2 linked regions of the Macaca mulatta genome follow. The protein of the gene in region 1 interacts with the protein of each later gene in a pairwise test. Links are inferred from orthologs where the notes say so. Each region holds a gene or a part of one and is shown on either strand. Other genes may lie near its edges. The genes, in order: PTN and TAF1D.

Region 1 (15,705 bases):
TTTTCGTATTTTTTAGTAAAGACGGGATTTCACCGTGTTAGCCAGGATGGTCTTGATCTCCCGACCTCGTGATCCACCCGCCTCGGCCTCCCAAAGTGCTGGGATTACAGGCGTGAGCCACTGCGCCTGGCCAAGGCTACTTTTTCTAATGTATCATCTGTATCCACATGCCCTGTCATATGTCCAGTTTACGCTTAAGGGAACTTCAGTGAAGTCAGTAGCAAATCAGGTGGTGTCCGCAATTTTCTCAAATCCACCTCTTAAGTCAGAACCACTGAAGATGGGCTCCAGGCAGCTGGCACCTACACATGACCCTAGTTAATCTGATAAACATTGAAGACAGGCAACTGCTTCTGTAGGTTATTTGACCTCTAACTGTACATACATTGGACTTGGGGTTTGACATGAGAGACAAATGGGAGATAAAATCAATTTATTAGCCTAAGAAAGATGGCATTATATTACCGAGGAATAAACTCAAACCAGGAATTTTAAGACTTTTGTTTTCATATCTGTATGTCATTGAATGTGGCCCCCTTAACTTCTCTAAGCCTGCATTTCTGTATCAATTTTTTAAAAATCCCACTCAGTCTACCTGAGTAGAGTTACAAAAATATGATGAAAAAATAAATGTGAAACATTCTGAGAAAAAGACCTTATAGCTACATAGAAGTTATAATGAAAATAATGCTTCAAATGACTAGCTTTGTCACTTTGAATAACATGGTTTGTTAAAGAAGTGGTAAGTAAAGTTTTCTGCATTCTGGAGGTAGTCTTGAATCAGAAACTATGAAAAGTTTAAAATTATCAAGGTGAAATATGATTAGGAAGACACTCTAGAGAACTGGCAAGCCTATATGACATTTGGAATGAAGAGAGTGAAGGAAAGAGAGTGGGAGAAGTTTCTGGAGGTTCAAAGTTGAGCATGGGAATGCTTGGGCTTAAACAGGAAATAGGCACCAGGTTGTTTGGTAAGGCGAGGGGATTAGGCATAGAACACAGACGGTCAAGGTGGGTGGAACAACATGGGCAAAGAGAATGAAAGGCATTTAGAGCTGCCTATTTATTTTCTCGTTCATTTGCCATCTTCAATGGTTCTATGCTAAATATGCTAGGGTTCTTGAGAGAATGAGACACAGCCTCTGCCTTAATAGGGTACATAGGTTGGATGGGGTGGGGCTGGTGTCAAATGGTGAGAAAGGAGGAGCTGAAGTCACTATAAGGGGTGACGGTGACGGGGAGACTTTGAAGAAAAGAGAAGGGGAGAAATACAGCTCCACCTAGAGGGGCATTTGCCTTGGAAAACCTTTGGTGCCTTCAATTTCTGACTCAAGATTTCATCCAAATTCCACAGCTGAAGTACAAGGATTTGCCTTCTTTTCCTTCATGTATATGTTTTCATTAAAGGACACTCTTCTCGTCTGGTATAAATTTTCCTGAAAATGACATCTACAGTGAGTGCCATGTCTTAAAAATTGTATTGATTCTAAATAAAACTCAGTCTGAATTCTTAAGATGGCACTTCCAATAATTTGTTTCTGCTACGTTATGTGGCAAATGTGAAATGAAAACACGAAGGAATTAAGAGTTCAATTTATCTTCCAGAATAAACAGCATTAAAGGAATTAACAGACGTAATGCTTTTGAAATAGATGTTGGGTACCATTTAGCCTTTTGTGAGCTCCCCTTTCCTTTTTCTCATAAAAATGTGATCCCTTTGACATTGGAACTGCTTAGGGCAACAGTTGTACATATCTTATTCTAACTTGTGTTGTAGTAATTAGTGTTTTAATATTCTTACATATATATTGAGTAGATCATTAGCTGCTTGAAGACATATTTATTTGTCCTGTGTCCCTCATCACACCACCTACCATAGAGTACAGCAGTCACTATCCATAAAAGTCTGGTAGGGATAAAAATAAAATAACAAGAAGTCCTTTACTTCAATCTCCTCCTCAAAATAGAATTGTGCCCGAATGATTTCCTTCAGTATTCATTGAAAAAATATTAAAAATGTGAGTCTAGAGCTCATTACAGAGAATCTTCCTCCAATTCTCTTCAGATTTGAGAATTTTCCTTGTGAAAGAGTTAAAGCTCGAAGAACAGTTGTGACAATACTGAAGCATTTGGAGAGGAGAGAGGAAGGCGGGGAACTGAAATATTTGGAAATAAATGTACACATTTGGAAGACGAGGGAAAAAAAAAGCAAAACAAAAGGTGAAAAAAGGAGTGCCCAAAGAAATTAGGAAAATATTAAGATAATAACATATCAAGGAGGTTATGAGATAATCATAAAAGGTTGGGGTTAGCAACCTGTGACTTTTAAAGCATCTTTTCCAGAGATGGGTGAGGGCATAATGGATTTTAATTGAGATCTCCTTTAAATACATTTCTAATAAAGAATTTCACAAGTTCACACCACTTACCAAACACAAAGTATTAGATATTGTCGAACCATAGAGACAGACACCATGTTCTATTTCTTAAACATGCTACATTGTCCAGCACAATGTAGTATTAGGCATCCAACATACATACAATAAATATTGTTAAACTGGCTGGCCATAGGAGCAAGAAAAATTGTATTGTTGGATTAGGACCCCAAGAGGATGTGATGGAGATGAGTAACTCTAGCTGCACCGCTACATTGATACTGGGAAGCTGAGAAGAGAATGAGGTCAACACATTGCAGCAATGAAAATGTTGGCTGACCCTTAGCCAGGGTCTTGAGTCAAAAAAGAAAAGGGGAAAATACCACTGAATCAGTAGAGAGGGCATTGAAAACACCAGCTAGGAAGGTCCAAGTTGAAAACACCAGCTAGGAAGGTCCAAGTTTCCAAGAATGCCAACATATGGACAAACATTGCTGGTACATCTGTACATAGAGAAATGTATGCCATCATAGCAAGAGGGAATTGGGCAAGACGTTCTGGGACCTGTTGGGTGGGAAATAGTGGCAACAGAATTAATAGAGAAATGAGAGAAAGGAGGAGAAATAGGTCAACATAAAAGCAGGAAGAAAAGGGAGCAAAGGGTTAGAGACCCAGAATGCTATTTGTGTTTTAAAATGATGTTTTGGCTTTTGCTAAAAGCAATTCTTAGAATTAAGAGCCCAATTATCAGTTACTATGACTTACTTCTTTCAAGATTAATATATAGAAATTGATTTTTTGTTACACCATGTGTGAAGTGAAAAAAAATCTAAGAATTCTATTTTTAGAAAACTGGATATGATGTTTTTTCTATTTGAGATATCACTTTATCTAAACCACTATGAAAAAAAAGGTTCAATAAATAAAGCCTAGAAAAAGGAATTAAATTTTATTTCTAAAAATATCTCAAACATGAAGGAGTCATTGTATTCCTTGTCCACCCTGAAGAAATAGGGATTTGTGGTGAATGTGATCTACATAATTAAGTCCACAATATTACCATGTTTATAATACCCTCTGATAATGTTTCAGCATAGCTACCCTTTTAAGCTACTGTTTTAATCTCTTATTTATTAAATGCCAAAATAGAAAAAAAAAGAGGCTTGTTATATTTTACAATCTAGAAATATTTTAATGACACCATGAAATCTATGCCGCACACTAGACTGGCTTGAAGTGGATGGAAAAATTGCCCAGTGGGTGGAAACTTGAATTGTCCATAAACATCAGACGGAAAGACAACTTTCCATGAGGCCATGGCCCAAATTCCACTTAAGCCAATTGACTCTGAATGGAAAAAAGCAAGCCTAGCTCATAAAAAAAGGTTCATATCTGAGTATCATTTTACCTCCCCTCCCACAGCAGTGATATGACCTTGTGCCAGAAGGAGACAAAATCTCTTCGATTATTCATTTAGAAAAGAAGCCAGAGGAAAAAACATTCCTCACCCTTGTGAAGAAGCCCAACTCAACATCATTAGCAAAGCCATGGAACAAAGGCCATTGGAGGGCTCCCACTCAGCCTCATGCTCCAGAGAAAAGCACATCTCAAACTGGGCCGAGTTGCACTCAGGTGTGGAGGACGTTTGCACTCATCACATTGGGTGGTTTCAGTCTGGACACCTCCTTCCGGAGAGAAGTCAGGAACAACTTCCCATATCATTATGCTGCCATATTAAAAGGCATAATCGTTTAGAGAAGTAGAATTTTTATTCCAAATTTAGACTTCAGGCCTTCAATCTATTGTTAATTTATCACACCATTTTCAACGAGCCAGGTAAACTCAGTTTTGTGGGAAAGTTTTGAATAGTAATTAAAAACACCACATCACAATGGGAAGATGATCAGAATTCATGTGAGAATGTCATATAAGTGAGAAAGCAAGAATATCTTCAAAGGAAAAATAAAATATTTGAAGTTAAAATATTTGATATCTAAGATTGATTTTATTTTATAAAAATGATTCAACTATCTGGGGATCTTATTTCTCTCTGTTGTTTTCAACAACTAGGTTTTATGAAATTTTAAACCAGGCCATTGATTTGACTGAAATTTTAAAAACAATGAAAATGCAGATCTTGTTATGTGTTGCTATAAGTGAAGCCAAAATAAGGCACATGGAAAATATCAATAAATTAATAAGTTTATTATTCCAAATCTCATGATCTCATGGAAAGAGGTCTAAAAAACAGAGAATTATATATAATACATTAGACTATAAGTACAGTTAGGTATACCTTATTACTCTAATTCTCTACAATATCTCATTTAAAGTCAGATAATTAAAAAGTCATATATTTAATAGGGCTTTTATTTATCTCAAGCTCTAGCTTTGAGAACATAATGCATTTGCATCCAGAAGCAAACAGCTGGAACACAGCACCTAATGCTGTTATATGTGGCTTCAGGTGGGAGTTCCTTATAGTGACTTTTCACTAAATGCAGAAAAAGATGTCCTAAAGGGAACCAGTGAGCAGTGGCAGAGAAAAGATCACCTTCTATGTATTTAAAGTACAATTAGAGAACTTAAGGCCCAAGTTTCTTAAAGCACAAAAGAATGGTATTAGAGTTGTTCTTTTTTTAAATAATACAATTTTTTAAAATCTCACCTTCTAATTTAAATGAAAGAGTACAAATATTGCCAGTCTGAAATAACTCATGTCCCAAAGGAAGCAAAGAAATTCAAATTTCCTCTGAATTTAACTGGACTATATTTTTTAAATGACTTGGCCTTTAAAGTGCATAATTTACTTAAAAGGAAACATAACGAAGATGGAAAACACAGCTTTATTTTCTGCACTGGGAGACTTCTGTTTTGTTTCATTGTCATTACCTTTTAATATTCCTACATATCAACGCATTCCCAGATAATTAAGGGGCTAACATGGGCCCTGCTGTTTCATCAATTCCACATTTGCCTACGATCATAAAATTGCTTCATTATGTTATTAGTTCAAAAGTTCTTTTTGGTAATTCCTGAATCTCCTCCCGTACCCCTCTCTCCAGCACACACACACACACACACACACACGCACATGCACACATCACCCCTTTCTCAGGCTGCTAAAGCAAAATGCCTGGTGACTCTTAACATGAGAAATGTTCAAGGACTGGAGCTTTAATGTTCTCTCCTCTTAGGACCCCTATCCCTCCTATTTTCTGAATGTGTCCCCAAACTTACAAAGCAGCTCTTAATAGACACAAGGGTGAGTTAACACTAGAGTGTATATAAATTGCATGTATGTGTTCCTGTGTGTGTGTGTTGTGTTATGTCATGGAGAAAGGGGTGTGTGTGTGTATGGAGAGGAGAGAGAAGGCTTCACTTTACATCTATTAAGTAAGAAAGGAGTTGAATATATTCCTCCCAAAAAATATTTTCTTAACTTATTAGAAACAACAACTCAGAAACTCTAAAAATCTAGTAAATTAGTAACAAATATATCCTAAATTTATGTGGGTCAAATTAAAAGTTTAATGGGTCTATGTACAGGGCAGTTCTTTAAATTTGCATTCAAACGAGAGACGGGACTCCAGATGTGTCTTCTAAACTTCGGTTCTAACCATTTCTGGAACCATTCCTGGGCTGTCAGGTGGGAAGACGGGTGCCACTAGTGCTGTGAGAGAGGTTCCATGTCAGCGAGCACTGGGAGGAACAAACCCGCAGCGCTTACCTAGAAATGCCAGCTAAGAGTCATGGGCTGGCGGGCCCTGGGGCAATCAGAGAATCAGAGAGAGGTTGGGAAAATGAGAGCTGCTTGTTCAGGCTGCCGTACTTTCTCTCCAACTACTCAGCCAGAGACACACCTACTAAAGCTCCAGGTTTTACGAAAAGCAAAGGTGCACTCTCCAGCCCACCGCTGGAACACGGTCCAAATGCACGCTTAACATCACAAAAACTTCTTTCCTTTCACTTACCTAAGCACACCCTAACTAACCTAACCTGAAACCCCCAAAATACGCCTCCCTTGGCCTCTGGAGCAAGTCAGTTTTGAAAGCAGTCCTATCAGCAAAGACACCGGGCAGCCTCTCTCACTCCTACCACCATCATGTGTTGGTACCCAGAAAAGTGGCACAAGGTGAAGGCAAACTCGATCGAAGAGCCCTCCGAGAAATCGCACATTCCTCTCACTTACTTTGAGTTGCAAACGTCCCCTCTGGCGCTCAGTCTGCCTTTGTTGCAAGGGGCGAGGTTGCTACGGCTGAGTCCAGGTACCCGGCTCGCTGCAGCTCCTGCTTGGTCTGCTGCTGCTCTCCCCGCCTTCTGGACGGATGACTCACTGGTCTCTTTCTTCCCCTCTCTCCACTTTGGATTTTCCTCTGCTCTGGGGCTCTCTTGGCGGGATTTTTGGACTGGAAGGCGGGGAACCTGATCCTGCCTTTGACTCAATTACGCCCTGACAGGGAGGGAACGGAAGGGAAATGGAGAATGGGAGGGATGAGAGGAGCGGGCCAGGAGGACGCAGGCTGGGCGAGGGAGGGAGAGCGTTTTGCACTCGAGAGCTGATTGGGAAGCTTATTAAAAGCAGAATACTCCAGGGGCAGTCTCTCCCCGCGGAGCAAGAAAGAAAACGGATTTGAACCAAGAGGCCATGAGATGGTACCTTGTTTTGTTTCTAGCAGAGACCAAACACAACATTTCTTTTCCAAACTCCACCCATGATCTATTCTTCAGATGAGTGCAAAGCCACTTTGCCAAATAGAATATTTTAAATGGACAATTGATGGCATTTTAGGTTACAGTTTTGGCCCCCCACAATCCTTTAATGATATTCAGGATGAAAAAGCACTCTCTTCGAACCAGCCTCTTCTTCCACCCACGAAAGCCCTCCCTATACACAGAGGCAGTTACCCAGCTGTCAGTCACATCTCACCTGCAAAGCACAAAATGTACAAAGTACTTTTTCTCAATTGTCACAGAGTGACAGACGTCTGAAAGTTCCCAATTAAGTGCTACTTACCTTTAGGGAGAGCTCTTTCCTTTTTTGGTTTCCTTGGCACGTTTAGCAACCTATTCAGTAACATGCCTTTGACACCCAAGAATTTAGAGGATTCGTCAATGTAGCTCAAACTCTGAGGTTTGTAAAACTTGGAGGCTGGACTTTGCATCTCTCTGGAATTTTCATTTCATTCAATTGAGGAAAGATGCTAAGGCAATGCATAGGTAAATATTTATGATATAGATGAGATAAAAGTATTGTGTAAAAGGATTAAGACGTATTACACAAATTCACCCAAACATTTTAAAAATGTAAATTTTGAGATTTTCTGCCACTTATCAGCTTTTCCTGCTCCTTGGTTAGTTCCTTTTACCTACTTTTACTGCTCAGCTTATCATTTGATGGCATCCATCCCAAATTGCTTGTAAAAGAGACTCGCATTTTTCATAGTTCTGAGGTTACATCCGTTCATTTCAATTTGACAAATATTTATTAAGCAACGTATTTACTTAGAACTATCCTTAAACCCCCAAACTAGAAGCATTGTCTTGTGGCAAGTAGTTTTTAGGGACTTGGGGCTCTTATATTGACTGCTACCTGTAGAAATGTCCCTTGGAGAAGTTAGCTGGAACCAAAGAGGTGGCTCTACAAACTCAATCAAGCAGTCAGTCAAGCTTTTCAAAAGGAACAGCATCAGAGATGCACTTACACACATACAGTTTATCCCCCTTCCCAAACCCTTCATACACATACCACATACAATTCTCAAATGAAATAACTAAATAAGGAAGCTGTGTTCCTTTCTTCTATACACAGGCTTCAGGTTACCTATTTTCCTTTTGTGATTCCACTTCCGTGTGAAGAAAGCATTGTTTGTTTTAATCGGATTTCACCTGTATAAAGTGTGGCAGAATGCACATTGTCATTTTTATAAGTATTTTGCCCAGTCCCTTTACAGAAAAAGATGTCTCAGCATTCTATTAACACTCCACAGGGGCAAAGTTTCTAAGGCATTGAACAAAGAGCTATTCATTTTCTTTCTGTTCTTCAGCTTTAACATATGTAACATACGTACATACAAATGTATATACTATATATATATACACAAATGTAACATACAGCTAGCTACCAGTTAGGTGAACAATGCTGGCTTGATTGAGGTGCTCTCTATAGGGTTGATAAAGTAAGCAGGAGAGTCCTATGATTTCTACTCAATTACATATGTTATATCAAAAATATCACCCTTTATTCAGATAGGTGTATACTAAAATTGCATACATCAGTGATTATCAATTGGGAGCAATTTTGCCCTCCAGGAAAAGTGAATAATGTCTGGAGATAGTCTTGGTTGTCGCAAATTGGGGGAAGAGGTTGCTCTGGCATCTAGTGGGTAGAAGCTGGGGATGCTGTTAAACATCATACAATGCATAGTTAAACATCATACAATGCCTACTCCATAGGCAAAGCTGCCCCAGTGGCTGCTGGCTATCCACCTTTATGGTCATTTCCTGATTGTATGCTAAACAAGGGGTAGTTTATTCATGAATTTTCCTGGAAAGAGGTAGGCAGCTCCCAGAACTGAGGGTTCCTCCCCTTTTTAGACCATATATGGTAACTTCCTGACATTGCCATGGCATTTGTAAACTGTCCTGGTGCTGGTGGGAGTGACTTTTGGCATGCTAATGTGTTATAATTAGCATATAATGAGCAGTGAGGACAACCAGAGATCACTCTCCTGGCCATCTTTGTTTTGGTGGGCTTTGGCTGCCTTCTTTACAACAAGCTGTTTTATCAGCAAGTTCCTTATGACCTGTATCTTGTGCCAACCTCCTATCTCATCCTGTGACTTAGAATGCCTAACCTCCTGGCAATGAAGCCCAGTAGGTATCAGCCTTATTTTAACCAGCTCCTATTCAAGATGGAGTTGCTCTAGTTCAACCGCCTCTGACACCTCCACAACAAAGAATTATTTGGCCCAAAATGTTAACAGGGTTGAAGTTAAGAAAACCTAATGTTATTCGCCACGGTATTTTAAAAATGCAAAGACAGATTAAAGAGAGTTTGTGTTTTTTTAATAAATAGAAATTTATGAGATTGGGATTAGTCATAATTTAATTCAATCCAGCATTTTCATGAAAGTTGAAGTAGAATATGTTTTTTTAATACACAGTGAAATACTCAATTTCAAATCCAAATTTCATTCTAGGGCATAGTCTAGGGTCTATTGATTCCAGAGTCCAAGTTATTTCATTCATTAGGCTAATATCCTTTAAGCACTTAAGTCTTTAGCTTAATAGAACCATGAAGAAAAACTGTTGACAATCCCTACTCTCAGATAGCCTATGTTGTTGTTCTTTCTTTTTTTTTTTTTTTTTTTTTGAGATGGAGTTTCACTCTTGTTGCCCAGGCTGGAGCGCAATGGCGTGATCTTGGCTCACCCAGGTTCAAGCAATTCTCTTGCTACAGGCTCCCGAGTAGCTGGGATTACAGGCATGTGCCACCACGCTTGGCTAATTTTGTATTTTTAGTAGAGATGGGGTTTCTCCATGTTGGTCAGGCTGGTCTCAAACTCCTGACCTCAGGTGATCCACCCACCTTGGCCTCACAAAATGCTGGGATTATAGGCGTGCACCACCGCATCCAGCCCTATGTTTCTATTCTTAATGAGTCAATTAAAATTTTTTAATAGATGTGATAAGTAACATGAAAAAATAAGGCAATGATGGAAGATAAAGTGTCAATTTGGGGGAGAAAATCTCATTGGGATGATATTTGACAGAAGACTTAGAAGAATTGAGGATGCTGGCCAAGTAAATATTTGGGGGAAGAGCTTGTAGGCAAAGGCATCAACAAAGGCAAAGACTCTGATGTCTGACCTTGCCCCAAGTTTTTTGGGGAAGAAAAGGAGGCCACCGTGGCAGGAACTCAGTGAGAGGAGGCAGGCATTAAGGAAAGTAATGGGCCAGATCACCTATGACCTTTGTCCACTGTAAGGAATTTCATTTTTGCTCTGAATGAGGTGGGAAGCCATGAAGAGTGACTAAACCTGACTCTGGTTTAAAACGTCCTCTCTGCTGTGTTGAATAGAGCACAGGAGGATGAGGCTGGAAGCAGACAGCCCAGTAGGAGGCTACTGCACTAACCCACTCCTCAAAAGTCTTCCCCTTGTTCCTGTTTCTTGTGCAAAATAATCAACTCCAAACTTGCTCTTTAGTACTTTCTCTGCCTACACAAGCTCCTGTCAGCAGTATCTTCGGCTTGCTAATGTCAGTTCTCAGCCTCTCCAGGTGTAATGAACATGCCCCTTGCATGAGTGTTACCAGGCCAAAATATAACTAATGCAAGGTGATTTGAAATCACAGAAATTATAACATGTCCCAAGGGTATTTTGAAAATGAGGCTGCTGATTTTGCAGTGGCAAATGCAAGGAGCAGTGTGATCAACATGAAGTTAAAAAAGGTGAAGGAACCTGATGAAAAATTTGCCAGCTTGTCTCTTTGATTGCCTACTTGACAAGATGTTTAGAATTCTTGATTGCCACTCCAGGTTCTTCAGTATCCCTAGAATGTAAAAGGACAATTCATCAAACTTTCACAGCATTCTAGAAGCCCCATTAATACATCTCTCTCCCTCTCTCTGAAATATTTGAAAGGTAATAAAAACAAATCTTTTACTTTGTTTTTTATTGATGTGGCAAGATTACAAAATTTACTTCTATATTAGATACATTTTTATAATAATTATGATTTTTCATTAAAAAACATAAAGCAAACAACAATGGCTTAGAAATTCTAGGAATTTATCTCACAAACAACACAAGTGGATAGTCAATGCTTCAAAGTCTTCAAGAACTGAAGTCTTTCTATCTTTTGACTCGGCATTTTCAAATTTGCAGCCCAATGCTCTTCAATATGATTTTAAGGAGCTCCAATCATATTTGGCTTAAAAAGTTTAAAATAGACCCAAATTCTAGTGCAGAGTAGGTCAGCTTCTCTAGTCACATAGCCACACAGGCTATGTCAGCACAAGGAAGAGGCAAACAGAATTTGGGAAGCAAACAAAGCTTGCTACAATTTCTCCCTAAAAAGTTATAAATTTGGACTTTATCAGTGTCTTATGAATCTAAGCAGCTTGACTTAAGACCCTCAATCTTGTCTTTTTTGCCAAGAACTGCTAAAATCAAGGTTCTGAAAGAGGAGGTCTTGGACAATGACCTCACTCAGACTTACACAGAAAACTAGACCTGAAATGTCAAAAGAAGTTTGATCATACATTACAAGAAAACCAAATATACAGAGCAAAATATAAAATGAACATGGATGCAAAAGTCTTTAACGAATATCATCATATCAATGTGATTAATGTATAAAAAGTGTAATACTATGCATCATATTGGATATTTATTTCAGGAGTGCAAGTTTGGTTTTACATGTAAAAAGTAAAATTCATATTTAAAGATTAAGCAGGGGGAAAAGGGAATACATTAATATATATAGGAAAAGCATCTGACAAAATTCAACATCCATTCATAATTTAAAATTCATTAACTTAAGAATATGAATGACTACTCTTATTCTGATAAGAGATGTCCACAGAAAGCTAAAGGATACTTAATAGGGAAAGTAAATACTTTCCACCTAAAATCAAGAACAAGGCAAGAATTGCCACTCTTACCATTTTTATTCTATATTAAATGAGAAATATTAGCCAATAAAATAAGTCCAGAAAAAGAAAAAAACATGAAAAGGAGGGGCATGGTTCACTTTATTTTCAGATAACTTGAGTATATACGTAGACATTGATCAAAAATGCACAGAAAAGCTTCTAGAACTAATTTGTGACTTCACTTGGATACAAGTCAATACTATAAAGATCAATTTTATTTCTAATGATGAACAATTATCAAAATATGAAATATTTGGTGGTTTATGCCTGTAATCCCAGCACTTTGGGGGGCCGAGGTGGGCAGACCATGAGGCCAAGAGATCGAGACCATCCTGGCCAACATGGTGAAACCCCATCTCTACTAAAAATACAAAAATTAGCTGGGCGTGGTGGCACCTGCCTGTAATCCCAGCTACTCGGGAGGCTGAGGCAGGAGAATCGATTGAACCTGGGAGGCAGAGGTTGCAGTGAGGTGAGATCACACCACTGCACTCCAGTCTGGCAACAGAGTGAGGCTCTGTCGAACAAAAGAGAGAGAGAGAGAAAGAAAAGAAGGAAAGAAGGAAAGAAGAAGGAAAGAAGGAAAGAGAAGGAAGGAAGGAAGGAAGGAAGGAAGGAAGGAAGGAAGGAAGGAAGGAAGGAAGGAAGGAAGGAAAGAAGGAAAGAAGGAAAGAAGGAAGGAAGGAAGGAAGGAAAGAAAGAAAAGAAAGAAAGAAAGAAAGAAAGAAAGAAAGAAAGAAAGAAAGAAAGAAAGAAAGAAAGAAAGAAAGAAAGAAAGAAAAGAAAAGAAAAGAAAGAAGGAAGGAAGGAAGGAAGGAAAGAAGGAAAGAAAGAGAAAGAAAGAAAAAGAAAAAGAGAAAGAGAAAGAAAGAAAGAAAGAGAAAGAGAGAAAGAGAGAGACACTTAGGGATAACTTTAGCAAAATATTTTCAAGCCTTATTCATTGAAAACCACAGAACATTTCTGAGATAACTTATAAAACACCTAAATAGAGAGATTCATCATGTTCAGCAATTTGAAAATTTAAGATTGTTATGACATACATTCTTTGTCTATTTATCTATAAATATCATTAAAGCCAAATCCCAATAAGTGCCTTTATAGAAATTGACAATCTAAAACCAAAGTTTATACGGAAGTGCAAAGGACATAGACTAGGCAAACAATTTTTGAAATTAAAAAAAAGATAGAGGACTCTACTTGGTCTCACTATAAACCTACAATAATCAAGATTATTATACAGTACTGGCATAAAGATAGACTTACAGAACAATAGGAAACAATGGTCAGTTCACAAATAGAAATAAACATTTTTCAATGGGGAAAGGATAGGTTGTCCAGCAAATGATGCTGAAAGAACTGGATATCCATATGGAAAGACATAAACTCTGAGATCATAGAGAAAAATTAACTCAAAATGAATTAAAGGGCTAAACATAAAAGCAAATGCTATGACATTTCTACAATGTAATAAGAGAAAATCTTTGTTATTTTGGGGTAGGCAAAGATTTCTCAGCTAGCATGTAAAAATTACAAACTGTTATTAAAATATTGATAAATTAGGCTTCATCAAAATTAAAATTTTACTCTTTGAAAGCCATCATTAAACATAATAGGCCAGGCACAGTGGCTCACACCTGTAATCCCAGCACTCTGGGAGTCCAAGGCGGGAAGATCACTTGAGGCTGAGAACTGGAGACCAGCCTGGGCAACACAGCGAGACCTCATCTCTACAAAAAATAATTTTTTGAAAAAATTAGCTGAGTGTTGTGGTACATGCCTATAGTCCAAGCTGCTAGGAAGGGTGAGGTGGGGGGGTCAGTTGAGCCAAGGAGTTCAAAGCTGTAGTGAGCTATGATCACACCACTGCACTCCAATCTGAGGGACAAAGTAAGACTTCGTGTCAAGAAAAAAGAAAGAAAGAAAGGAAGGAAGGAGCGAAGGAAGGAAGGAAGAAAGGAAGGAAGGAGGGAAGGAAGGAGGGAGGGAGGGAAGGAAGGAAGGAGGGAGGGAGGGAGGGAGGGAGGGAGGGAGGGAGGAAGGAAGGAAGGAAGGAAGGAAGGAAGGAAGGAAGGAAGGAAGGAAGGAAGGAAGGAAGGAAGGAAGGGACATTAATTAATAATCATAATAAGGCAATCCAGAGAATGCAAGTATTCTCGTAATACATGTCTGACAAAGCTAACCGAGTAATCAGAAACCAATCAATCCAACAAAAAATAGGCAAAAGACCTCAATAGACACTTTGCAAAAGAAAATATATAAATGCCAATAAGCATATGAGAAATGGATACCTTCATTTGCCCTGTCAAAGAAAAGCAAACTAAAACTTCAATGAGCTGCCACCTACACACCTACCCAAAGAGCTAAAATTAAAAGGGCTGGAAATCCCAAGTGTTGGTAGGAATGTAAAATAGTACAACCACTTCGGAAAACCATTTGACAGCTTCTTATAAATTAAACGTGCACCTACCATATGATTAGACTTTCCTAGACATATTAGACTGTTCACTCTTAGGTATTTGCTCTACAGAAATATGTGTTCCAAAAAGAGGTTTGTACATAGATGCCCATAGCATCTTAATTCATAATAGTTCCAAATTAGAAATCCATCAATTGATGAACATATTATTAAAGTTTAGTAGAGCCTTTCAATGAGATATTATTCATCAACAAAAGAATAATCTACTGATAAATGAAAAAAATATGGATTAACTTCAAAAACACTGCACAGAGAAAAGCAAGCCAGACACTTATGAGCACATACTGTATATGCTGATTTCATTATATGAATTTCTAGAAAAAGCAACCCTAAGGGTTTGCACTGGCAAAATATGGATCAGTGGTTGCCTGGGACTCCAAGTTGGGGAGGGGGAGAGAAATTGATAGAACTTCCAAATATTCTACTAATGTGGTGATTACATGGAATATACACTTGTCAAAAGTCATCAAACTGTACACTTAAATGGGTGCATTTTATTGTGTGTAACTAAAATTCCTGACTGTATCTCAATGAAATTTATTTAAGAAATAAAATAAGCTGGGCACTATGGCCCAAGACTGTAGTCCCAGCCACTGGGGATGCTGAGGTAGGATTGCTTGAGTCCAGGTGTTCAAGGCCAGCCTGGGCTACATAGCAGGACCCTGTCTCTAAAAAAGTAAATAAATAAAATAAAATAAAGAGATAACATGGTGTAATGGTTAACACCATTGACTGTGTAGTCAGATTGCCTGATTTCAAAGCCTAGGCCTTTTACTCACACTATCTGTGTGACTTTTGGTATGTTACTTAACCCCTCTGTGCCTTAGGTTAACATTTGTAAAGTAAAGATAATAATATTCCTTGTCGCATTCTTTTGCTAAAAATTAAACATTTAACATGTTTAGAATGCTGCTTGGTAATTAATACACACTGTATTATCACTTATCAAATTTAAAAGAATCTTTAAAAATACTCACATTCTGGGCCAGATATTGCATTAAGTTGGAACTCCATTCATGTGAGAGAAAAAAAAAGTATGCTGTGAAGTAAAAAATCCTTTAAACATACATTCTGTTAAGGAAAAGTTGTATCCTGAGACTTTCAATAGTAGTTTCTTCATTTTAAGAAATAGATTTTATTTGTTCATTGCTCCAAGTAGACTCTGAACTCCTATTATTAACAGATACTCA
Region 2 (15,703 bases), on another chromosome or scaffold:
GTAGAAAATACATTTAAAGAATAATGTAAGTGAAAAAAGTTAAAGCAAAATTGTGCAACTCTTTGGGCATCACACATGCTTAAGTCTTGGATTACTAATCATTTACATCTTGTAAAGTTGGTATCATCAATAATCTGTAAGTGAAAGAAAAAAGAATTTACAAATTATAATTTTAGTTTTTTTGGAGGGACAGAATTTTGGATTTTCTCAATAAAAATGGGACAGAACAGAAACTGAAATGGAAAATGAATTCCATACCAAAAGTATTATTTTGATAAGTAAGATATAGATATAGGTAAGTAGTAAGATATAGATAGATCTTAGAATCTTTTTAAAAGAATTTTCTCTTGGGATAATTTTTAAAAATCCAAAGTTAATATTGTTTTTACCTCCAGCAAGCTCTTCTAGACTTGGTACATGAAAAGAAAACTCAGCACAAGTCATTTTCTTTCTTCTTTAGGTGTGAGGTTGGACAAATAGAGTTACTCTTGGTTAATTATCACAAGAGTCCACAGTGCACCAAGTATGAACTGCTTCTGTTTTGGAAATGAACCTTTAGCATTCAAACATATAAACAGAACAAAAGGGCATTTAGGTTTCTATCTTCACAAAAAGTCAAACACAGCTTCTAGTATTTAATATTCCAAGTGAGAAACAGACAAGTGACCTTTTAATACTTATACTTTATTTTATTTTAATTTAAAATTTAAAACTAATTTTTTAATAGAAACACGATCTTGCCATGTTGCCTAGGCTGATCCTGAATTCCTGGTCTCAAGCGATCCTCCCACCTCTGCCTCCCAAAATGCTGGGATTACAAGTGTGAGTTACTGCTCCCGGCCAATTCATTTTCTTTTTTAAAATCATATAGCTGGAGTGAACATCCAATTTTCTAATGGTTGGTCTAAGGAATATAGGTCTTGAAGCAAAAGGTACTTATTAGGAGTTTATGGATAAGTGTTTAAATGGTTGTAGATAACAGTACATATAGGATTTGTACAGTACAGATAGGATCTCAAGTATTTCTATAATAGATATGTGTGTTTTCTATTCTATATTTCACATTTAGGCCAAAAATTAAATGAGCTCCTTAGACTATCATTTTGTCAAAATAAAATTTAAATTACAAATACGAATGGAAACTTTTATGGAATGATTAGCCTTTGAAATTCAAATTTTTATTTTCATTTACAAATAAATATACTTTCTTGGTAAACAGATTTAATGTTCAATTCTGATAATCTACCCAATTATAATTTGATAGTTAAATATATGCTTTTCTATCATTGCAACTAAAAAATAAAATACATACCAAGTATACTTTGTAACAAATAAGTACACATACACATAGATTATTATCTTACCTTAAGTGTTCAGTGATGAAGTGTGCAACCAGAGGGAGATAAAATGAAGGCAGGGAAAAATACAAGTAATATGAGGTAGACAGGTATCCTACTCCAGGCCAATCACAACAGGGAACACAGACAAGACTCTTAAGGGTGTTTCTAAGAGTACTGCAGGAGTTTTCATTAAAATTGTTAATAGAACACTTCATTAATCTGAGTGGCCTCTGCCCTTAATATGCCTATTTAGCAAGTGGAAAGGCGATCTTCAGTCATCTGAAATATTCTTCTAAATTTTTTTTTCTAATTTTCCAAAGAGTCGTAGGTTGTTTAGAAACTGGGTTTCTAGTTCCGGTACTTTTCAACAACATATCCTCTATAACCATTCTATTACATACCTTTAGGATGTTACATTTACTTCAGTACTTTATCAAATACCAGCTTTTATTGTTCTTGATTTAATATATGTAATCTAATCTCCCAAATATATATAACTGTTTATAAAGCGTCCCAAATCTTTTTTTTTTTTTTTTTTGAGATGGAGTCTCGCTGTCACCCAGGCTGGAGTGCACTATGGCACCATCTTGGCTCACTGCAACTTCCACCTCCCAGGTTCAAGTGATTCTCCTGTCTCAGTCTCCCTAGTGGCTGGGATTACAGGCGTGTGCCATCACGCCCGGCTAATTTTTTGTATTTTAGTAGAAACGGGGTTTCACCATGTTGCCCAGGCTAGTCTCAAACTCCTGAGCTCAAGCAAATCCACTTGCCTCGGACTCCCAAAGTGCTAGGATTACAGGCGTGAGCCACCACGCCCGGCCCCCAAATCTTACATAATCATACTTAAATTATTTTAAACAGAGTTTTGTGTGAGGAAAAGAGAGATCAGACTGTCACTGTGTCTATGCGGAAAAGGAAGACAAAAGGAACTCCATTTTGATCTGTACAAAGAAAAATTGTTCTGATTTGAGATGCTGTTAATCTGTAACTTTAGTCCCAACCCTGTGATCACAGAAACATGTGCTGTATTGAATCAAGGTTTAAGGGATTTAGGGCTGTGCAGGATGTGCCTTGTTAACAATATATTTGCAGACAGTATGCCTGGTGAAAGTCATCGCCATTCTCCATTCTCTATTAACCAGGGACATGATGCACCACGGAAAGCTGCAGGGACCTCTACCCGAGAAAGCCTGGGTATTGTCCAAGGTTTCCCCCCACTGAGACAGCCTGAGATATGGCCTCGTGGGAAGGGAAAGACCTAACCGTCCCCCAGCCCCACACCCATAAAGGATCTGTGCTGAGGAGGATTAGTAAAAGAGGAAGGCCTCTTTGCTGTTGAGATAAGAGGAAGGCCTCTGTTTCCTGCATATCCCTGGGAACGGAATGTCTCCGTGTAAAGCCGCCTATTCGTTCTATTCTGATACAGGAGAAAACCATGCTGTGGCTGGAGAGGAGATATGCTGGCAGCAATACTGCTCTGTTACTCTTTGCTACACTTAGATGTCTGGGTAAAGAGAAACATAAATCCAGCCTATGTACACGTCCAGGCACGGTACCTTCCCTTGAACGTATTTATGACGCAGATTCCTTTACTCACGTTTTCCTGCTGACCTTCTCCCCACCATCACCCTGTTGTCCTGTCATACTCCCCTTTCCGAGACAGTGAAAATAGTAATCAATAAATAGTGAGGGAACTCGGAGACCAGTGCCGGTGCCGGTCCCCTGGGCCCACTGTTCTTTCTCTATACTTTGTCTCTGTGTCTTATTTCTTTTCTCAGTCTCTTGTCCCACCTGACAAGAAATACCCACATGAGTGGAGGGGCAGGCCCCTTCAGTTTTGGGTTGAATAATTTATAATTGTTCAGGAATGAGACAGTTTAACTTTTTCTTTTAAATAATTTTAGATTAACAGATATTACATACAAATAATTCCTGTATATTCTTCACCCAGATTTCCCAAATGTTAACATTTTATCACATTCTTTATCAAACAAACATTGGGTACTTATTTATGAACACGTCAAAATCTGCACAACGAATAGTATATTCATTTATAATGATAATAAAAGCACTTTAGATATTTTTGCTGGCAGTAGGAATAAAAACACAAGTTAAAATCCAAATGTAATCTTAATTTTATTCCCTTTATTATCTCTTTTCTTTAGTAAAAAGTTAGGTCAGTTGTTTCTGTTTATTTATGCCCCTACCAAAGTAGAAACAAAGTCCAATCCTGGGAGGATGTAGCTTGAATAACTGGTTTAGAAATGTACTTATTAGGAGTCCTTACTAGGGATTTGTGGATAAGTGTTTAAATGGTTGTGGATAACAGTGCATACAGGACTCTCAAGTATTTCTATAACAGATATTTGAGCTTTCTACTCTATATTTGACATTTAGACAAAAAATTAAATGAGTTCCTTAGCCTATCACTTTTTCATAATAAAATTTAAATTATGAAGGCCCGTCCAATCCTAAAATGAGGTGAACTTCAGGCAGGGTGATGGCACTGTAGGCAGTGTGGTAGCACGTGTATGTGTGTGTTGGAGGTGGGGAGAGGGTTACAGTTGGAGCTGAGAAAGGGGTTAGGTTCTCACATAAACTCCAGGAACATAGCCTTGGGCCAGATAGAGGCAAACAATATTTTCCTACCTAATTGGTGGGAGGCGATGGCCCAGAAATAGGGTCTAGAAAGGAAATGGAGCTGCAGAGGTTAACACCTGAAGGGGTAGACCAACTATCGCAACTAAACTGGTTACCATTTGAGTGCACACTGTGTACCAGACACCATTAGACACTGTGCAGACATTCTCTCAACTTTTCACAACCATGACAGATTGTGAGACAGGTTGTGGGTCTTCAGGAGTCGCGGGCATCCCTCAGACACAGCCGCACGGCCTGCATGGAGTTCGCTCCTGCCGGCGACCACTCGCTCGGGCTCCAGCATCTGCTCACCCCTACGCACCCTCCCATAAAGGGTGGGGCGCAGCAGGCCTGAGTGAGTGGAGTTCCTAGCTTCCAGCACTCCAGTTCCCGCCTCATTCACTCGCGCGCCCCTTCCCGCGAGGAGTCGAGAGCTACGGGCTGAGAAAGGGAGACACCGCAGCCCCAAGAACCGCGAAGGGGTCTGAGAAATATCTTGCTTCAACTGCACTCCAGCCTGGGTGACAGCGCAAGACCGTCTCTATAAAACAAAGGAATATGAAATGTGGCCGGGCGCGGTGGTTCACGCCTGTACTCCCAGCACTTTGGGAGGCCGAGGCAGGTGGATCACTTGAGGTCAGGAGTTTGAGACCTGCCTGGCCAACATGGTGAAATCTAGTCTCTACTAAAAGTACAAAAATTAGCCGGGTGTGGTGGCGGGCGCCTGTAGTCCCAGCCACTTGGGAAACTGAGGTGGGTGGATCTCTTGAGCCTGGGAGGTGGGGGTTGCAGTGAGCTGAGATCCGGCCACTGCACTCCAGCCTGGGCTACAGAGCAAGACTCCGTCTCTTAAAAAAAAAAAAAAAAAAAAGAAAAAATACAAAATGAAATGTGAAATTTCAGTGATTCTGCATTAGGAGTTAATTGTTCCTTCCCTTTAATACCACTTTTCCCCTTCTTTTTGGACAAGGGACGCTGCATTTACATTTTGCATTGAGCCTCACAAATTACACAGCTAGGCTTGCTGCTGAATATGGCAGTGAAGGACATGCCATACCAGTCCTGGAGCTTAGTCACTGCCCAGCCCCTGTGGATCAAATGCAGTGTCAGACTTTTTATCCCCGAAATTGTCCAATCTATGGAGCAAAGGAGGGTAAAGAGACCAGATTACTTTTAAGGCACGCTCTATCCTAAAATGATGTAAACTATAAAATAAGATTAGACAGCTTTACTGGTTTTTGCGGTGTATCATATGAAAACAGAAGTTTGAAACCAGAAAAATCAAACCAGTTCAATCCTTTTAAAAATTTCTTTGGGAGGCCGGTGGCTCACGCCTGTAATCCCAGCACTTTGGGAGGCCGAGGCGGGTGGATCACCTGAGGTCAGGAGTTCGAGACCAGCCTGACCAACATGGAGAAACCCCGTGTCTCCTAAAAGTACAAAAAAATTAGCAGGGCATGGTGGCACATGCCTGTAATCTCAGCTACTTGGGAGGCTGAGGCAGGAGAATCGCTTGAACCCGGGAAGCGGAGGTTGCGGTGAGCCAAGATCGCGCCATTGCACTCCAGCCTGGGCAACAAGAGCGAAACTCGGTCTCAAAAAAACCCCAAAAAACCGAAAAACAAAAAAAAAACCAAAAAACTTTCGAAGAAAAAAACCCCACCAAAACTAAACTAGTTTACACAGCTTAATCTTAACTCAGGAACTGGTCAAGGAACTAATGGTGGGGGGCGGGGAGGATGTAGGAGGAAACAGGAAAAAGAAATCCTCCACAGGTCTCACTTGTGACGTGTTAGCCAATTCCTGGGAGGCAGAAAGGGTGAGCTCCCGAAACAGGTGCAAAGGTGGGGAGGAGACCTGGGCGTGCTACGGCATAACACTGGCGTCCAGCACAAAGGTTACAAACTTCGAGTAACCTTCCCGAATATTTTCACACACAAGGGTTTTGAAGGCAAAAGTAGACACAGGATGACAAAACACTCATTCACACATCCCACCCGTCACCCTCACCACATACTCTGGACCAGGTTTAGAAAGCCGGGAGACAGCTCAGCAAACGCGAGACCACCGGAAACGACCCGGGCTGAGAGGCTGTTTCCTCGCAGTTCTCATCCACTCACAATTGGCCGCACATTTTCTTTTTGTTATTTGCCGAAATGTTCTTGGCTATTCCACTTACCGAATCGGTCACGCAAGCAAAACACCAGAATCCCGATCTCCGCCTACGCCAACCCCGCCTCCTCAGAGTAAGCGAGCTACAGCTCCGCCCACGTTAGTCGCTCCTCCCTGCGCGGCGAGAAAAATGGCGCCCCCGCGTCGCGACTCCTCCCACCGCTCGCCTTCTTCCCGGGAGCTAAATTGTATCGCGAGATTTCTGCCTGACTATTACTTGGGCCGCGGGGATATCCCACCCTTTTCTTCCGCGCGGTTGGAGGACATCGGCTAGTTTTCCGGAGTTGGAGGACTGAAATCGGGAGGGTGGTGTGTGCAAATCTCCAGGACTCACGCACCAGGCCAGTCGCAGGTTTTGGCCCGAGGCCTGGGTTACGGGCAGCAAGTGCGCGGTTGGGGCCGGTGTGAGGCGGTTTTAGGTAGGTTGCCAAGAGGGCAAGGCCGTCTGGGCTTGTTGGGCAGGGGAGGCATTGCATATCTGGGGTTTCGGCCCCTGCGTTGTTCCGGAGGATTGAGCCTCGGAAGTCGGGCCGAGAGGGTGAAGGGATCACGGTTGCAGGCCACTCCGCGCCACGCGGCTGGTATGAGGCCCACAAACGTGGTTGTAGTGTGGGCGGGCTTCATTATATCTTGAGATGGAGGTGTTAAAACGTGTTGCAGACAAGTTTAACCTTCTTAACGTAATTTAAATGATTTAACCTTCATATGTGAGGTACCCATTGGTAGCGCCGGTTTCCTGGAGGTTAGGCGCTGCCCGGAGAGACGCGCTGGTGGTCACAGAATTAGCTCCGGGTAAAGCGCCGCTTTCTGCCCACGTGGCCTCTAAGAATTGCAGAATTCCAGCGGATGCATCGACACCCAAGTAGGAGTGTCTTCTAAACACTAAGAAAAAAGTGATTCTTGAGCTAGCTTTATTTTGATAATCCCTACTTTAAAAAAAAATTAGCCACAGGTATACCATTAATGCATGGGGCCAAATTTTTGTTGAATTCCGTTTTTGAGCATTCGATATATAATGACTTCGTAGAATCCTGTACTTAAGCTAATAAGACGTACTACCAGAAAATTACCACAGGGGTCCATTGGGCATTTAACAAATCTGAGCTCTTGGTAACCTTATCGTTTTATATTTTAAATGTTTTGCTAGTTCATCCTAGGATTTATATGCAATGACTCATGTTAGGTCCCAAGAAGCTACAGAATGAGACAAGAGATTGACTAAGGCAAGTACAATAGTGAAATAAGTAGTTATCCTTCATTTTTGTTGCCATGCCTATTTTTTTTTTTTTTTTTTTTCTGAGACAGGGTCTTGTTCTGTCGTCCAGGCTGGGGTGCAGTGGTGCAATCTCGGCTCACTGCAACCTCCACCTCTGCTCAAGCGATCCTCCCGAGTGGCTGGGAGCACAGGCACGGGTCACCACACCTAGGCAGTATCTTAAGAATTTTTTGTAGAGACAAGGGTCTCCTTGTGTGCTGAGGCTCACTACATACAACTTCCACCTCCCAGGCTCAGGTATTCACCTACCTCAGCCTCCTGACCACAGGCGCGCGCCACTAGCCCGGCTAATTTTTGTATTTTTTGTAGAGACGGAGTTTCACCACGTTGCCCAGGTTGGTCTTGAGCTCCTGGGCTCAAGCGATCCGCCCGCCTCGACCTCCCAAAGTGCTGTGTTACACAGGCCTGAGCCACCCAGACCAACCTGTTTTTTCTTTTAGCTCACAAGAAGGAATCTTTTTTTTCTTCTTTTTTTGGCATGTTGTATACTCTACCATGGGGATGAAAACACAAAGAATTATGATAGTTTATTGAAAAAGGTTGAGAATTCAGAACTTGTCAGTTTCCACCAATAATGGCAAAGATACAATATGACAAAGTTCAGTTACTTAAATGAATCTAGGAATGAAGAATCTAGGAATTATAATGGAGAGGTGATCAGGAGTTTAAAATGGTCTGTTGATTGGAGATCCTTTTCCTGGTTTATATAGGGCACATTTTGCCTTAGGAATTCCCTCTTTGATCTTGGAAAATGGTTTTTAATTTTACATTAATACTGTATTGGTAATTGCACGTTAGTAAGTGGCTAATGATAAAACTGTATTTTCTACTTATATTGAAAGATGCTTTTTTTGGAAGTGACAGTACTTTTTTGGAATCTTGTTCCATTGAATACATTTAGAGGGTAAAAACTGAAAGAACCTGTGAATAGAATTTCTGGATTTCTTTTTAAAGAAATTGATCTGAAATGGATAAGAAGCTTAACCCCGGCAAATGATTTTGCCTAAAATCAGTGGCATAGTCTGACCATGTTGAATACTATAGTAGATACTGTGTCAATATTTAGGGAAGCTTTGTCACATTTACTAAATTTCATAATTTCAGAAAACTGTTATAAAACAAAGCAACTGATGGATAAATCAGGAATAGATTCTACCGACCATGTGACATCTGATGCTATGGAACTTGCAAATCAAAGGTAAGTGGGTTTTTACTGGAGAACTGAGTGGATTCAATCATATTTATTGTATCTGAATTATGAGAAATTATTTTATATAATGAGTGACAGTAAAGATGATTTTCAGGAATTGGGAAAGAAGGAAAACCAGATTTCACTGACCTTCCAGGTTTATCTAGTTAATGTAGATTGATAATAGCATTGCAAATACTTTAAATTCAAAATGTGAATATATTATAATGGGACACATTCTTCAAGAAAAAAATGTATTCTTTGGGTCATATTAGCATCTCTTCCAGACTACCTCTTCCTGTTTCTGTCTGGTAGGCTGTGTTTGTTTTACTCACTCTTAGCAGTGAACGGAACCATACAGCCTTTGTGGAGCTCATACGTTATCTTGAAAGATACATAGTTTTTTTCTAAGCTGAGCACAGTGGTGCATGCCATTAGTCCTAGCTAGCTACTTGGGAGGCTGAGTCAGGAGCATCCCTGGAGTTCCAGGAGTTTGAGGTTGCAGTGAGCTGTGATTGCACCACTGTACTCCAGTCTGGGTAACAGCAAGACGATGTCTACAAAACTCTTTTTAATAAGAGCTGTAGCTTTATGAGCTATTTAAGTAGGATGGTCAGCAGAAAGGCAGCTGGTTCTGAGCCCATCCTTTAAAAAATTTTTAATTCTGGATATGTTTTCCTGAGTTGGTCTTGGAAGAAATGTATATTTGGGACTGGGTATTACTGGTAATAAGCATTCAGTAAGAAAGAGGAAATTAATTTTTTTCTCATTTTTCTAGTGATAACTCTTCTGATAGCAGCTTATTTAAAACTCAGTGTATCCCTTACTCACCTAAACGGGGGAAAAGAAACCCCATTCGAAAATTTGTTCGTACACCTGAAAGTGTTCACGCAAGTGATTCATCAAGTGACTCATCTTTTGAACCAATACCATTGACTATAAAAGCTATTTTTGAAAGATTCAAGAACAGGAAAAAGAAGTACAAAAAAAAGAAAAAGAAGAGGTACCAGCCAACAGGAAGACCAAGGGGAAGACCAGAAGGAAGGAGAAATCCTATATCCTCACTAATAGATAAAAAGAAACAATTTAGAAGCAAAGGATCTGGCTTCCCATTTTTAGAATCAGAGAATGAAAAAAACCCGCCTTGGAGAAAAATTTTAACGTTTGAGGTGAGTCAGCATTTTATATATATGGCTACACATAACTCAGATGCCCAAAATGATTTGTTGGCCAGTTTAGAATTGTCTCAGATATGCTGGGAACACACTGTCCGCAATTTCGATACTCTTCTATACTGACTTCCCCCTAAAGTCCACCCCATCCTTTAACTGAAACTTGACTTGTATCTCTTCAATTACTACACTTTGGCCAGATTTAAAAGATAGTGCTCCAAGGCTCTTTGTATAAAATGCTTTGATCTCATCCCATCTCAGGTCTTAAACACAACCCTAAAACTCAGTAGGGATAATAAAAGCTCACATGAAATTATTTTTGCAGTAACCTAAACCAAAACCACACATGCCTTATGTTCAGTGGATACATTCTTAAGGCCTAGGTATTTCTAAGCCAGTCATCTGAAAAATACCCTAATACTTAGGAGTAGACTTTTTTAAAATATTTGAGAGTTGTATGTTGAATGAATGCAGAGTTTCAGGTTCTTGCCAGAACCTGAAATTTTATCTGGGAGGATTAATACATGTTAATCTCTTCAGTTAATCTCTTAAGGTGATTATAGTAAACATTAGAAATCTTATTCCTGTTTTTACATTTTAAAATGCCTTTAGTAAGTCCCAGGCATGACAAGATATGTAGTACTTCACTTTTCCTTTGTACCAGCTTAGGTAAGTTTATAATTGTAATGTGAATTTTAATAAACAGCATTTGATATATCCACAAGTGGGGAGTAGTTAAGATAGCAAATTCAGAGTCTTTGGTAAGGGGGGTGTTGAACATTGGCACTTGCTGGGTTGTGAAAGAAAAATCTTGACATACTTACGGTGTTTTTAATATATAGCAAGCTGTTGCAAGAGGATTTTTTAACTACATTGAAAAACTGAAGTATGAACACCACCTGAAAGAATCATTGAAACAAATGGATGTTGGTGAAGATTTAGAAAATGAAGATTTTGATAGTCGTAGATACAAATTTTTGGATGATGATGGATCCATTTCTCCTATTGAGGAGTCAGCGTAAGTGGAATCATATGAAATAGGTTATAAATTAAATTTTATGTTAATTGCTTCATTTTTTGCCTTTAATATAGTTATACTTAAATAATGAACAAAGATAGAGTATGACACTTGGGATTATTACAGTTGAGCCAAGCTTAGCACACAGTACATCTAGAATTCTCTAGAACACAGCATTCTCAAATTTTGTTTGCTTGACTAGTATTGCAGTTTCAGTTTTCAGAGTGGAATACACAGCTAATGAGGTCATAGAAGATTCTGTCATCTCAATGATGATAAATTTTAATGTTACAGAGCAGAGGATGAGGATGCAAAACATCTTGAAGATAATGAATGTGATATCAAATTGGCAGTAAGTGACTTTTCTGTTCCATTTTGGGAAGGCAGGAGTTGGTTGGTACAGAAGGAATTGTATTTAGTTTTTCTCTTACACTTCATTTAACTTTTGAAAAGCTCAGTAAGTTTACTGCAGGAAATGCAGGAAGGAAAATACTAATTTTTTAGAGACTTGATAAAGAACATGGGGTTTCCAGTACTATTTTTAATAATTAGCATTCTGATACGTAATATTGCTAGTTAGGATATCAAATGAAAAAATAAGCAGATGTTAATTTAGATTTTTAACATCTACATGTAGTCTCTAGGTTATCTGAAGTAATCCAGGGCACTCAGCTATATGTAATTACTAAGCCATTTGAGTTATTGCTTAATCCATTATTTTTTTGTTTGTTTGTTTTATGCAGGGGGATAGTTTCATAGTAAGTTCTGAATTCCCTGTAAGACTGAGTGTATACTTAGAAGAAGAGGATAGTACTGAAGAAGCTGCTTTGTCTAAAAAGAGCTACAAAAGCTAAAAATACTGGACAGAGAGCCCTGAAAATGTGACAGGATCATGAATGTCAAAGGTGAAGCATATAGAAAAAACAACTTCATAGAAATGAATAAAGATGATAAATGTGGATATATATATACCAGTCTGGTGGTGAAGAAATGCTGAAACCCAGAACTTTATAACAAAAAAAATTTCAACCCTGTGAAGAAGTTTGTGAAAGAAACTTGTGAAGTAGTAGTAATTAGAAAAAAAACCCATTAAAACACCAGAGAAAATACATAGAAAAATTTGAAAAATTGTCAGTTGATTTCTGAATAAGAGCTTGCAGGTGTCCTGTGAGTATTACAACAGTGAAGTGTAGTGATTTTAATTTTGAAAAGAAAATCTTAGACAAAATAACTTGACACCCAACCATCTTCAAGAGGGTATTTGAAATGCTCTTATTCCAGCTTTGTTCAGACATGACAAAAGTGACCTCTCAGATGTTTAGTATTGTAATAACCTCATTTCCCTTCCCAAATTTAGAGTATCTTTAACACTTTTTTTCTTTTTTTTTAAAGACAGTTCTTGATCTGTCACCCAGGCTGTAGTGCAGTGGTGCAGTCTTGGCTTACTGGAGCCTCTGTCTCCCAGGTTCAAGCAATTCTGCCACAGCCTCCTGAGTAGCTGGGATTATAGGCGTTAGCCACCACACCCAGCTAATGTTTGTATTTTTAGTAGAGACAGGGTTTCACCATGGTCTTGAACTCCTGACTTCAGGCGATCTGCCTGCCTTGGCCTCCCAAAGTGCTGGGATTACAGGCGTGAGCCACGGCACCTGGACTAATATTACTTTGAACTACCATTTTCACTTTATTAGTTCAAGAAAAGGCATACACATTTATTTAACATGGACACACAGGGAGAACCACAGTGATTACCCCAATGTTCATTATTTTGATCACGATAAAGCTGACTATGTAGTGCATTTTAGGACTGCACTTAACGTATGTTTTTGTTTAATGTGGACAAAGACTTATGGATAGGTGCAAAAAATAAATCCTCTTTTGCAACCCAGAACTCATTGTTCAGTATGAGTTTTGATACATATAAGAAGGGATATTATGATACCTGAGACAGTTATAAAGGTTGGTTCCAGGCCAGGTGCAATGGCTCAAGTCTGCAGTCCCCACATTGCTTAAAACCAGGAGTTCAAGACCAGCCTGGGCATCTCCACAAAAATTGAAAAATTAGCTGGGTAATGGGGCATGTGCCTGTAGTTGGAGCTACTCAGAAAGGGGAGGTTGAGGCAAAAGGATTGAGCCCAAGAATTGGGGGCTGCACTGAACTTTGATGGCATCACTACTCCAGCCTGGGTAACAAAGACAGACACTGTCTCTTAAGAAAAAAAGGTTGATTCTAGGACTGTAGAATAGATAAACAGCATGGATATGAGGGAAATCCTCAGCAGTATTAATTTTGCATTCCAATTTCATGTTGACGATATATATGATGGCTTTTTGTTTTAAAGGCTTTTATCTTGAGAACATGATGTCTGGAGTTAAAGGTATGTCTCAATTTGAGTTGTCACATATTTATGTGTAGGAAACAGTATGTTGTCAGAGCAAGCAAGTTTCATTTTATTCAGAGACATTTCTACCATACTTTTAATTCCCAATTATATTGATTTCTGAAAAGAATCCTAGATTCTTCTTAGTGATGTGTCAGATTCATTTTAGTTGCAAGCATTAGAGGATTCTGAATTTGTTAGTTTGTAGCAATAATCGGAACTTTGGAATTCCTACTTGAAGCCTACAACATTATTTTGTATTAATGTACAATCTAAAGTGAGGTAGAGGATTTTATGGTTTAATGCAAATATAGTATAATAAAAGATTACATAGGTCATAAGAATTCATAAATTTGAATGATGCAGAGTTTGATTAAAAGTTATATAATGCCAAAGTCATAACTTACAGACACATTTTCCTGTATTTTATAATGGATGACAACTAATTTTGAACCAAGAATTAAAATTTGCTGAAATCTTTGAAATGGGAAAACAACATCCTCTATTTGCAGTATTGAAGTTCATAACAAGAGTTATGCTTTAAACTTAAATCTTAAGTTTAAATCCTTTTCCTTTGGCTCATCTACAGGAGCTACTTGATGGTATTTATTTTTATTTTTCATTCCTCTGGCTCCTAAGCACAATGTGATTGTGAAATTATTGTTTTTGTAATTAAGGTGGTAGGAAGTTTTTACAGTTTGCAATATTGTAAGAGCATATTGCAGTTTCTGCTCATAATTTTTTCCTATGGAGTGTTAGACTTTGTTATTTATATATATAAATACTAGCTGGGCACAGTGGTGCCTGCGGTCCCCAGCTACTCTGGAGGCTAAGGCAGGATAATCCCTTGAGCCCAGTGGTTCGAGGCTACAATGAGATGTGATCCTGCCACATCTCACTGTAGCCTCAAACCCTTGGGCTCAAGCGATTCAGCAAGAATCACACGATTTTCAAAAGACACGGCATATCCTGTGTCTTTAAAAAAAAAATCAAAACCTTGTAAATAGTGGTTGAGGTCTATCCCGATGGGGCTTTTCCTGTAGCCTGCACGTCGTTGGAAACGCCTCATAGAGTAACTCTGTGGTTTTACTTTACTCACAGGACTATTGTTAGGTCTGTGGGAAGGAACTACAAGACAGTTGCTAAAAGTTTTAACGTTATGAAAAACCAGATAATTTACTTTTTTACCTTAGGTATTGGAAAAAACCACACATCTGTACCATTCTTGAGTGATCGCTTAGGTAAGTTTTAATTGGTGACAGTATAATCTTTTGGGAAATATGATTACAGTTCAGATGATGAATTTAACTGTTCAACTGCTGAATGATAAGGGCATGAACTAAAACTTAATTCTGACAGAGCTGGATGTGGCTATATAAAACTGGATCTTAAATTTATACTTGGGTATTAGTTTTAATAACTGGAAATATATCCTTTCTAAATCTTTAATTGGTACTTTCTATAGGAATGAATGTGATTTGAACTCATTCATGTTGAGAGGTAAGTAAAATATTTAACTTTTAATAATCAAGGACTCAAAAGATGAAAAATAGAAATTAAGTACACCATCCCAGTATTTCAGGTATAACACAGAATTAGTAAGATACTGGCAAAAATGTTACTATATATTTGTATAGAGAAGGAAAATGAAGAGACTGCATGTCTAGACCTACCAAATGAAATTACCTGTGTTCTTTGCATTGTTATTGAACTGGCAGTTACACATACTTCATCCTAAAGTCACGTAAACCTGTATGGATATGTTGAATCAATAGGGATATGAATTACATTAAAAGAGGTTTGTGTAACTGGCAGTTTGAGCAACAATGAGCTTGACATTTGTAGTCTGCTTGATCTGTTAAGTTACATGTATATATTCCATTTGTAAGTTATATGGAGACTGGGCAAAGATTAGGAAAAGACTAGAGTTGTAGCTTAAAATACAGTTAATGCAGCTTATTACAGTGACAATTAGGAAAAAAGGTCAAATTATTGTACTTGTTAAAGGAACTTGAATTTGAGAGGTTTGTGAAAGCTTTTCTCAGTAGAAACATTGCACATTTGGGAATACGAATATGAATATGAATGTGACAGTTCAGTCATAATTGCACTGCATGGTATCTGCACTCAGCAGTTTACTCCTGCTAGGGTGTTCAAAGGTCAGTGCTATAGAAATTCAGTATCTGGCATCGTTGGTTTTCTTGGCTTTGTGCTTGTTAAACCTGGTATTTCTATTGATACAGTATTTGTATAGGTTCCTCAGTGTTCAGTTTGATATACTCTAAAATAGTAAGCAATGCTTTTCTTTTTCCAGGGTGTCAAATTGAGAACCAGGCAGATCCCCACCACCTACAATCAAAAGGTAAGATTCTCTGTTAATATTGATTCTGCTTGTTTCCCTCTATTGGTAGCATTGCCAGCGTAACAAGGACTTCGTACAAATACACTACTAAGCTTTAAAGAAACTTCTACAATGCCTCATTCTAGATGAGAATGGGCACTGCTGATCATCATG

What was found.
Region 2: the proteins of PTN (region 1) and TAF1D interact in a two-hybrid assay, tested with the Homo sapiens proteins (2 studies listed by BioGRID and IntAct). The link is inferred for Macaca mulatta from reciprocal best matches to the Homo sapiens genes PTN and TAF1D.

Annotation. Positions count from the first base shown.
Region 1 is NC_133408.1:177,160,396-177,176,100, forward strand, and holds the start of PTN (pleiotrophin precursor), read right to left. Parts: upstream 8,516-15,705; 5' UTR 8,501-8,515; intron 6,863-8,500; exon of another isoform or gene 6,634-6,862; 5' UTR 6,568-6,633; intron 1-6,567.
Region 2 is NC_133419.1:94,573,766-94,589,468, reverse strand, and holds TAF1D (TATA box-binding protein-associated factor RNA polymerase I subunit D), read left to right. Parts: upstream 1-6,340; 5' UTR 6,341-6,571; intron 6,572-8,532; 5' UTR 8,533-8,558; coding exon 8,559-8,626; intron 8,627-9,395; coding exon 9,396-9,786; intron 9,787-10,631; coding exon 10,632-10,807; intron 10,808-11,017; coding exon of another isoform or gene 11,018-11,048; exon of another isoform or gene 11,049-11,101; coding exon 11,102-11,159; intron 11,160-11,550; coding exon 11,551-11,661; coding exon of another isoform or gene 11,662-11,692; 3' UTR 11,693-12,860; downstream 12,861-15,703. Other genes in the region: C14H11orf54 (ester hydrolase C11orf54 homolog), read right to left, coding at 390-444. UniProt on the Homo sapiens protein: Component of the transcription factor SL1/TIF-IB complex, which is involved in the assembly of the PIC (preinitiation complex) during RNA polymerase I-dependent transcription.